2 linked regions of the Saccharomyces cerevisiae S288C genome follow. Changing the gene in region 1 together with any one later gene gives a genetic interaction. Each region holds a gene or a part of one and is shown on either strand. Other genes may lie near its edges.

Region 1 (7,067 bases):
TCAAATACTTAAGGCCTTTTAACACTTTGATCTGCCTTATTTCCCTTAAGTCTTGTATTTTACCACGTAATTCGTGAATGGGGTCATGAAAATCATCCTTAGCTTTATTGAAAAGTATACGTGCCAAGACAAGCCAGTTCCACGGCAACTCACTAAACCTATCCGGATGAGTTTTCTCATATTGTATTTTTCTATCAAGCTCTTTCGTCGTTAACCACTGTGGTGCTACAATACTGCACTTGGATTGTTGCTTCAGTAATAGAGCGATCCAAAGAACCACTTCTGTAGAACGCATGGCTACCATATTATTTAAAGCTTTGTCATCTGTAGTAATAAGTTGCCAGCGGGTGTGGTTTCCAGTTCCTCTATCATCGCCACGAATTTTTTGGCGTGTTGTTATTCTGGGAAAAATCTTTATTGGCTCGTTTTCCACAATGAACTGTATTTCTTCTGGTGAGAAAGTCTGCTGCAAATGTGCCGGTAGTGACATGCGTCTATGAAACTAGTCTTATTTCAGATCAGCCGTTGATCCTCTCTAAGTATAAAACTCTTTTTTGTTAACCATTTCATAGTTACACTTTAGGCGACTGATTTTTCATTAAATGGAAAATATCACAAGAAATTTCACGCTGGAGAAAAAAAAGGTTAGTCATCACTGATCTTCCCATGGAGTCATAAGCACGTTCGACATAAATTGTGAAAGTTAACACATTTGAAGCTAGGACCGTCAATCTAGGACACTAGTCGGTTACTTTTATCATGTGGAGGAGAATATTCGCGCATGAACTCAAGTATGATCAACCCAATGCATCTTCAAAAAACTTGATCCTTTCAGTTCTGAATACAACCGCTACAAAACGAGAGGCTAAGGATTATCTCTCAAAATATACAAATGATAGTGGGCAGCATAATCATTGTTTGTTTTTTATCAGGGACCTGCATAAAGTCGCACCAGCGATTTTGTCCCAGTTTTCAAGTGTCATAAAGAGACTAGGAATGCTAGGTTTGCGACCTATGTTTGTAATTCCGCCGTCGCCAACTCATGTAAATATACAGGCAGAGTTACTTGACAGTATCGTTACAGAAGCAGATTTAAAGCCACTTCACCTTAAGGAGGGTCTTACTAAATCCCGCACTGGGTTATATCATTCTGTTTTTTCGCAAGAGAGTCGTTTCTTTGATATTGGAAATTCCAATTTTATACCAATTGTGAAACCTTATGTGTATAATGAAGAGACTGCTTCAGAATTCATGACAAAGGATGTTGTAAAATTTATGGATTGCCTGTGCCAAGGGAATATTCCACACATTGACAAATTCTTCATTCTAAATAATGCCGGAGGTATACCTTCGGGAGAGAGAAATGATAACGCTCATGTATTCATCAATCTTTCTCAGGAACTCGAGCATTTGTCCTCGTCATTATCTCACAATATAAGCACTCTAACCAAACGAGAGCCACGCTCCCAAAACCTGTTACACAGAATGGAGGTGTACGTTAAAAAAGATGAGATATCTTCCTTAGAATGTGAATACCATGATCATTTAGAAAACCTGTTATTGATGGACAAAGTTTTATCAAATCTAGCGGCTACAGCAACGGGACTGATTACAACTGTCAAAGCTGCCGCACTATCATCAGATAGGAAAAATCCTTTAGTATATAATTTATTGACAGACCGATCGCTAATTTCTTCTTCTTTACCAAGGTTTAAAAAAAAGGACGGCGAGATAGACTCACCAGCCAACATGTTTGATGATCACGCATGGTATGAATTGCCTTCCCAACAGGTAAATGCAGCTCCTTCTAACTCAGATGCAGTTTTAGTGACAACTGTTCTCAAAAAGGGCGTCCATATCAAAACTTATGACTATAAGACGCTGACTCAATTCAACTCAATTGGGCTTCCAAAGAAGTTTCACGTACCTGAGAAAGGAGCAAAACCCTCGAGCAATAGTCCAAAACTAGATATCAACAAATTTAAATCCATCATCGATCAGAGCTTTAAAAGATCTTTGGATTTGCATGACTACATAAAAAGGATTAATGGAAAAATAGCTACAATTATTGTGATAGGTGATTATGAAGGCATTGCAATTCTTACCTATGAAGGCTCGGAGGAAAATTCCTTTGTTTATCTCGATAAGTTCGCCGTTCTACCACACTTGAAAGGCTCGCTGGGTATATCTGATATAATCTTCAATTTGATGTTCAAAAAATTTCCTAATGAGATACTTTGGAGAAGCAGAAAAGACAATGTGGTGAACAAGTGGTATTTTCAACGTAGCGTTGCTGTGCTAGATTTGTCGATTGACTTAGACCCCGAACACTGTGATGAAAAGCAAAGCCAATTTAAACTATTTTACTACGGTAACCCTCAATACGCTAAGAGGGCACTACGTGACAAGAAACGTTTAAGAGAATTCATGAGGTCTGTCAGGGACATCAAGCCAAGTTGGGAAAATGAAAAAAATATTTCATGAAACAAAGACGCATTCTCCTCCTCCTTAACTTTCAAGTTTTCATTTTCAGTTTTTAAGGTATCTATATAAATATATATATCTTACTATGCAAAGTTGTTGATATTTCACTTTACCCTACCAAATGGAGTTAATTACTCCAAAGTGATCCCGAACGAAGTTCCACTCTTGATCCAATGTCTCCTTTCTATATCTTCTTCTAATCATCGGAACGTTGTGCTTTATCGAGGTATCTTTCGCTGTATCGTACCAATTATCTATCCCACCCACGTTCTCCTCAAAGTAAGGCGCCTTTTTAACTCCAACGCCAATCCAATGAGCCTTGTACCAACCTTCATAGCCACTAGATAGCACACTTGTTCTCGACAACTCGCACAAATCTGTTGGGTTCAGCAAGTAAATACTTGCTGCTACACTGTATTCTTCAATGAGAGGTTCTAGCGTGTATGAACTATTGTAAAGAATCGATTTTGATGATAAAGAAATTTTTAGTCCCATCTTAAACATTTTCATGAAAGGATTTGTCTCATATGATCTTTGTTCGCCCACAGTGATATCTCTAGAAGGATTGATTTTGGCTGTTTCCTGGTCTTTCAAATAATCATGTTCTAGAAGCACGTTTTTATTCTTCAAAAAGGTCGATTTTTGCGAATTCAGTAATGAAACAGATGATAATGGCGCAGCTAAAATGGGTATTTGAAAGAGATAAAATAAATATTGAATCATTGTTGCAGTATCCCAAAGCGGTTCTACCTGTAGCAGACCACCATTACAAAGCAGTAAGTTGCACACTAACGATTCAACTTGATCTGTAAAATATAAATCCACTCCAAATTGGGAAGTTCTGCTGGATAGTGGAGAACAATAATTTCTTAGGGTGATTGTATTTTGAAGATTTTGTGACCGCAGAAAATTAACTTTCGCTAAACTTTTATAAATATAATACATGTAATGCGCAACAGTTGGATTGTCACCCTGTGCTGTCCAAAATTTTGGCTTACAATTCATATCAGTAAATTCTTTCCAGTAATATTCATCCGACTCTTTAATGACCAGATCCATAGAACACACATTTGATAAAAAAAACTGCAGACCAATGATATCAGTATTTACAGATGAATCTATTGGTAACTGCTCCTTTTCCAGAGTGAATAAAGGATTGAAGATAAGATCCAAAAACTCCTGGAAATTTGACACGACATTTTCCTTGAATAGTTTGGGAAAAATCCTGGCAATTTGTATATTCCAGCGGATATTATACGATACTAGCTTCCATCGTAGCAACCATTGAGAAAATTTCTTGTACCAGTCTTCACCACTGGAATAGAATTGAAAATTAACTGATACTTGGGCCAATTGGTACTTTGATTTTTCGAGGATATGAATAACGTATTTTATGAAAATTTCTGCTAGGTACTCACCTTCAATGAAATTATCAAACTCCAGAAACACTTTGGCTAATAGGTAAAACCTCATTTCTTTGCCGACCAACTTTGCTACTTTGTTAGGAGTTAGATGGTAATCTATTAGGTAAATATTTCTATACCAATCCAAGAATTCATCATCAATCAATTTCAACCCAATCGCAATGGGTTGGTCATTAGAAGAACAACCAAACTGAAAAATGTCTCTCAAACTGAGTTTCCTTGACGTTTCCGGGTCTTGATAAACTATCCTTTCAGGTTCTAAATTTATTTTCTCCCATATATATTCACTCAATTGACGTTGAGAAATACAACCACTTAAAGACAAGTCTCGATCTACCTTACGAGAATTATAAAAATCTCTGTAGGGAACATTTTTATTAGCTAAAATTTCTTTCTTAGAGTTTAGGTACTGAAACAATTCAAATTTATCTAATAAATAAGATAATCGCTTTCGTGAAACCTCGTTGAATTTATGAGATTGGATTAACTCTATTATGTATGCAAAATCATCCCTAAATTCTTGAAACGTAGGCACATCTGTTAAAAATTCTTCCTCTAGTGACTCCTCCTTACTAGAATAAGGTGAAAGTGGGTTTTGCGTATTTTCCTGATTACTTAAATGGTAAATGTATTGTTTTTTGTAATCCTCTAAATCGAAATATTCACCGGTGTATGGTACTTTTATATTTCCTTTTCCTTTCAAACCAGATTTTGTGTAGTAGTAGTAGTGATCGGTAAAGTAACTTGGGTAATAGTAGCCATGGCGGTGCGGTGTAGCGGCTCCGGTCCCAGTACTGTCTCCATCGTCATTTAAGTCAGAGTCAGAGGGATCTTGGAATCGTTTATCGTCTTCAAATCTCCAAAACTTTGGCAGTGGTTTTGGGTATAAAAACCACTTTTCAGTGTCATTTTTTATGTTTGAAATGCCATCTTGTTTGGAAGCAGCAATGTATCTTTTTCTCATTTGAGAAACCAATTCAAACGGATTAATGAAAAGATCTTTAGTTTCTTCACCCGTTTTCAGATTTGAGGGCGTGTACGATGAGACAAAGCTGTCACTTTCTCCATTTCCATAATGATGGGAAACTGAAGGAAGTGGATCAATTTTGTTTTCTTCGTCTTCAAGATCGAAAAACATAGGTGAACCTAAAACCATTTGCCTGTCAAATTCCGTGGGCAAAGAAATCATATCCATATCATCGACTGATATTTCCTTCTGTTTCAAAACAGATGGGGAGACATCACCGTCATTCTCTGACAAGACCCTGGCTTCTTTATTCTTCGTCTCATTAGGCTTAGTAACAGAATTTTGATATTCGTCAAAGAGTAACGAGGGCCTTCTCTCTACCGCCTGCATAATTCCCAGCGAGATGAATAAGTAAAGTGAGATTTAGATAACTCTTACAGAGGATATTGAGAGGACATTTTAATCAAATTCTTTAAACTCAATGTCCCCTTTTTTTCCATATATTATATTTAATTTCTCGGACAATTTTTCATTTCTGACTATAAATGACAGCAAGAAAAAAGTGGGCAGAATCATATTCAATTTCAAGTTTCTTCGCAATTTTTTTACAGTGATATTTTGTGTATGTATTTGTACATTGCTTTTAATATCTAAGTTTGTCTATAAATGGAAATTTAGTAGTGGTTTAATTTCCAGAGCCTCACTTTACCTTGTTCGTTACCCACGGCCAGTAGCCCACCAGATGGCGAAAATGCGACACTGGTAACTTTACCCAAAGGCGTCCCGCTGGTAGGCCAGTTGCTGAACACGCTACAAGAAGGCAGATGAACTAGTCTCAAAGCATCCTTGACTGCACGGGATGCCATGCACAGTATTTGACCATCAGGGGAAAATTGTAGATTAGAAATGGTAGTTGTTAGCTGGTCCAAGGCGGCGACAGGTGTAGGGGTCGACGAGGTCATAGCATTATTTCTATCGTAAAGATTAACAAATCCACTCTCACTACCTACCGCAAGCCACCTATTTTGCTTTATCTTACTTATTTGAAGAGCCGGACAAGTAGTTGTTGTCCCACCACCAACTTGGATTTTTGTTATACCCACGCCACCTTGGTCTTTCCATCTTCTTATAACATGGCCATTCTTATTCAAGTCAAATTCCCACACTTCACCATACGCGTTTACAGCAATTAAAATGGTCCTAAACTTACCACGTGAAATAGGTTGATAATCGATACAGAAATCCGTTATCACACCTTCTATCTTGCAGCCCATTAACCATAGTCCGGAAGTGGAATGTAAAATGTTAATCCAACCATTATTACCCTGTAAAAGGACAATTCCATGGACAGAATTTGTTTGTGAATTCTGCAAATGTGCAACTTTGAAATTCTCAAATGATCTTTGAGTGGACTCATGTCCATACAATCTGGAAAATTTTTCGATTTTGGCAGTCTGTGAATGAGTTAAATTTTCTAAGGATAAGTCCCAGGAATGCATATATCTTCTTCTACCGGCGGTGAATATATTTTGTTGATTTTGGTTTGATAGAGAAGTATAGAAAGTACATGTTTGTATTGGAGACCCAACCAGGTGCAAACTTGTCACTAGATGGTTCGTTTTCCCGTCAATATGATATATTCTTAAGGTCTTATCATACCCACCCGTTAACAGTAGAGGCTTAGAAGGATGGAATGAAAGAGATTGTATGGCGGAATGAGACGGGTGTGATGCATTTGCATCTTTAAGACGCACAATGTCAAGTTTCTTAGGGGGTAATAGTTTGGAATTCGATAAAGTGTCTTTATAATTGTAAGTAGTAGACAGGATCTTCGTTAGAGCATTAATATCTCCATTAATAACATTATTAGAGCCTTCTTCTTCATCGTCTTCTTCGTCATCTAATTCAGAATCAGATTCATCGTCCACCCATTTGGGCCTTGGATATATCTTTTCAAACTGAGATCTCAATCTGTTGATGTAATGAACACCGTTGATTTTGGACTCGTTATAGGAGGTTCTTAATTTCTTTGTCTTATTGGTAACAAGAATAGGCACTTTAATTTTTTCATCATCCGAATCTATCCAAGCAGCTTCTTCAGAGTCCTCAGAATAATCATCGCTTGAAGAGTCATCTTCGTCATCCACGTCCATGGTATCTTCATTCTTATCTTGACTATCTTCGTTACCACC
Region 2 (4,065 bases), on another chromosome or scaffold:
TTGATCAACAAATTGGATTCAATGGATATCCCACTAGCTATTTCATTAAAGGTTAAGAACGAATTGTTAAATGTTATTGTTAACTATTTTACGGAGTCAATTCTAAAGTTGAACAAATTTAATCAAAACGGTTTAAATCAGTTTTTACATGATTTTAAATCTTTAAGCAGCATTTTGAGCTTACCGTCACATGCTACCAATTATAAATGTATGAGTTTACACGAACTAGTAAAAATATTAAAGCTAAAGTATGATCCAAACAATCAGCAGTTTTTAAACCCAGAATACATTAAAACAGGTAATTTCACATCATTGAAAGAAGCTTATTCCATTAAGTACTTGAAGGACACGAAGATTCAAGATGCACTCTATAGGATTATATATGGTAACATATTATAGCTCGTAAAAAAAAGAGAAGGAAAAAAATCAACAAGACGAGTATTATTCCAAATGTAACTCCAGACCATTCTATAAACCGTAAATAAATATATAAAGCTCTATCATTGTACCAAATCACTATTCATTTCTTCAAACCGAAGGACCTCATCATTCGGATCTTCCGAGGCATTTCTCCTGTCGATTACGGCGCTAAATCCTCTTTTAGCTAACGCCTCGACTATTTCACCAACAGTTGATATCATTCCCGTAGGACCTTCGTCAAAGACTCCGTTTGTTTCAACCTTATTCAACCATCCATATTCTTGAGGAATGTTTTCAGCTTTCCTATACTTTTTCTTTCCTTCGGTTACGCTCTGAATAGGTTCAACAACTTGTGTGGAATTGATATCGTCATTTTCATCGTTATCGTCATCGTCATCACCATTGAAGTGGACATCTATCAGATGATCGATAACGGGCCAACCGTATGCGTTGGCAAACTTTCTTCGGACTATAATGTTGTTGTGAGCGTCAGGTTTTAAAGCAACGACAACCTTTCTCCATGCCATTCCTTCATGCCACCTTCGAGCAATCGTTTCTTCCAAATTTCGATACTTCGCACGTTCTTTCTTTCCTGCAAAAAAAGCCTGAAGGAGTATATTCTTTTTACCAAAAAAACCGTCTTCGATATCAAATTCGGATTGTGGAATGTCATCCTCATTGTATATCTTATCATGAATAATTACAGGATCTCTTGAATCTGGATCCATTATGTACGCTCTTTCAGGTAAAGGAGGAAGGAGAATTGAGCTTGCTGACTCGAAAAATGATACTTTAGGAATTTCGGAACCATTCTCCGTAGGAAACTTTTGTGGCGCCAGTATACTCAACATTTTAGTCAGAGGCGAAATGAAAGTTTTATTGAAGAAATCTTGATTCACAGGTGTTGAAGCATCATTTATTAGCGGTGATTTTTTGCTGTTCTCCTTTAGTTTCTGTAATTGCTCCAAGATATCATTATAGTCTAGGAACAATAGCGATGCGGTATACAATGGGACAATTCCGTCATTAATAGCGTTCGCATATACTGTCCTCCTTTTGAACCTACGCAAAATCTCTATCAAGGGCAGACCAGATAGCAAGTAGAGAAGCGGTTTGCCTACTTCAACATCATTTTCCAAACCCAAGTCTTGACCTGTTTTTCCAATAACCCCGAATGAAAGTAGTACTTTAATATAGGCGGGATTATCTGTGACTATACCTAAAAGCGGTGAAGCTAAAGTAATAAAATTTATTGGATTCACCTTTTTAAAAAACCAAGGGTAGACTTCATAAATGTACGCTATTGCGAAAGCCTGGATTAGGCCACCCAATGAATGACCTACAAAAGAAATCTTGCGGATGGATTCATCGTACAAATCCTGGATAATATATTCGGCCAAACGAGTACCTAAATACTTAACTCCCTTCTCAGTTTGACAGACATTTCCCCTATAACCTTTCACAACAATTTGTTCGTGGGGATAATTCTTTTGTGCTTTGTATATCTGTTCCATAATATACACTAGATCGGTCGACACATTAGAATGTAAACCATGTGTCAAAACTACAAGATGTTTCTTTTTCTGTGGTGTGGTAATCTGAACGGGAAGATTCCACAAATCCAAGGTAGTTAACCTGTTCACTGTAAGTTTAGGGCTATAAGAACCTAGATGAGATGGCAGATCATGCGGATTTTCTACTGACTCTTTACTAGTTCCAATAGTGACTTCGTAAGTGACGTTCGTATTTGTAGTGAACAATATTTGACTCATCACATCAGCAATCCATACGTATTTCTGTCGTATGTTATGTACTGAAAGTTCAGCCACGAAATCTTGTTGAGTTTGCACATTCGGTTCAAATTTGGGGTAATCAACTGAAGCAACTATTTTTTGGGAATGATGATATTGGGCAGTTTTTACATCGCAATAAAGCATGAATGGACCCATTAGGTACGCAGCTCTATACGATAACGGATTCATATTTCTCACCTTTAACCACAAGGAATTTAAATTCAAATCTGGTGGAATTTCCTCACCGTCATAAAGATGATAAGTAATTACATATCTCTCAAGTTCACCAACCTTCACTGAAGACTTGTAATGAAACAATATTTCATTAGTTGGTGTCAGAGACATCTTGAGCAAAACACGGTTCGTACTTCACTCTCTTTGTGTACTATTCTTACTGAACTGTTGAGGCGGTACAATTTATTTCACAGAGTTTTGCATATTTCGGGCATCTACTATGTGCGTCAGTTCTTACGTGGCGCAGAACAATAGAAAAGAAGATTTACAGAAGTGATAGATACGATATGATATTTACAAGAAACGAAAAGTTACGTTCGTCAGTTACTCTCCAATAATTCTTTTGCCCGTTCGGTGCTATCATATTTAGACATTGCCTCAATAACTTCGTCCAATCGTTCTCCAGATAACACACCTGGCAGGTCCAACAATGTGAACCCGCACCTATGATCAGTGATTCTGTTCTGTGGAAAATTGTATGTTCTAATTTTATCAGACCTATTGGTGCTAGAAACCTGACTCTTTCTTGCTTTTCTTTCTTTTTCCTCCTTTTCCAGCCTTTCCTTCTCTGCAAGTCTCGCTCTTAAGATCGTAAATGCTTTAGCCTTATTCTTGTGTTGAGATCTTTCATCTTGCATGGAAACAACAATTCCAGAGGGGATATGGGTTAATCTGACAGCAGAGTCTGTCGTATTCACATGTTGACCACCTTTCCCGCTTGCACGCATGATGTCAACTCTGATTTCACCAGGTTTAAATGTTCTTTCATAAGCGTCAATAGATTTAGCAGATTCGTCACCAATTTGAGGTAACACAACCACGGCAGCAGTGGATGTGTGCGTCCTTCCTTTAGTCTCCGTACTAGGAATTCTCTGCACCCTGTGAACGCCTGCTTCAAACCTCAAACGATCGTAAGATCCGGCTTCTTCAATGCTCAGAATGGCATCGATAATGCCTGACCCACTTTCGTTTTCATTTTTCGATATAATTCGATACTTCCATTTTCTATAGTTGGCATAGCCAATATACATATCCAATAGATTCTGGGTAAAAATCATGGCTTCAATGCCACCTACACCCGGTCGAAGCTCTAGTAAGCTAGGTTTATCTGCGAACGGATGCGGTGGAAGAAGTTTATTTACCAATCTTGAGGAGGTCGTTTCATATTGGGGGACCAGTTCTGCATATTCTTGTTCAGCCTCCGCCCTTAATGATGGATCAGATACAATCATTTCTTGTAAACTTTTCAATTCATTTAGTTTTTCCTTATACTCAATAAATGTATCAGTGAGCGCTGATAATTTAGCATAATGTTTCTGCTTATTCACGTCAAAATGAATGCCGCAAGAAAGGTCTTTGTCAAGATCTTTTAGTTCAGCTTCATACTTTTCCGCTTGCTTAACAAGTAACGGAGAGAGTTCTGTGTATTGTGTTGGGATGCTGCCGTTGCTCTTAGAGTTAGTCGTTGTTGATGTCAGTCGCACTAGTAACGGCAACTTGTGACCCAAAAAAACACCCTTAAAGATGGACCTCGAGGGGAACTGGAACTTTGAAAGCCACATGCTTGCACCAATGAAATATATTGTTCTGCTCTACGAACTTTTCATTCCTGAGATAT

The links. Genes that interact genetically often act in the same process or in processes that back each other up.
Region 2: mutations in YJL070C (region 1) and ROG1 together harm fitness more than expected from each alone (negative genetic interaction), as found in Saccharomyces cerevisiae (2 studies listed by BioGRID).

What each region holds. Positions count from the first base shown.
Region 1 is NC_001142.9:305,373-312,439, forward strand, and holds YJL070C (metallo-dependent hydrolase superfamily protein), read right to left. Parts: upstream 5,266-7,067; coding exon 2,599-5,265; downstream 1-2,598. Other genes in the region: DNA replication protein PSF2, read right to left, coding at 1-490; ARG2 (acetyl-CoA:L-glutamate N-acetyltransferase), read left to right, coding at 760-2,484; UTP18 (Utp18p), read right to left, coding at 5,550-7,067.
Region 2 is NC_001139.9:231,950-236,014, forward strand, and holds ROG1 (putative lipase ROG1), read right to left. Parts: upstream 2,559-4,065; coding exon 501-2,558; downstream 1-500. Other genes in the region: TIP20 (Tip20p), read left to right, coding at 1-399; MRF1 (Mrf1p), read right to left, coding at 2,768-4,009.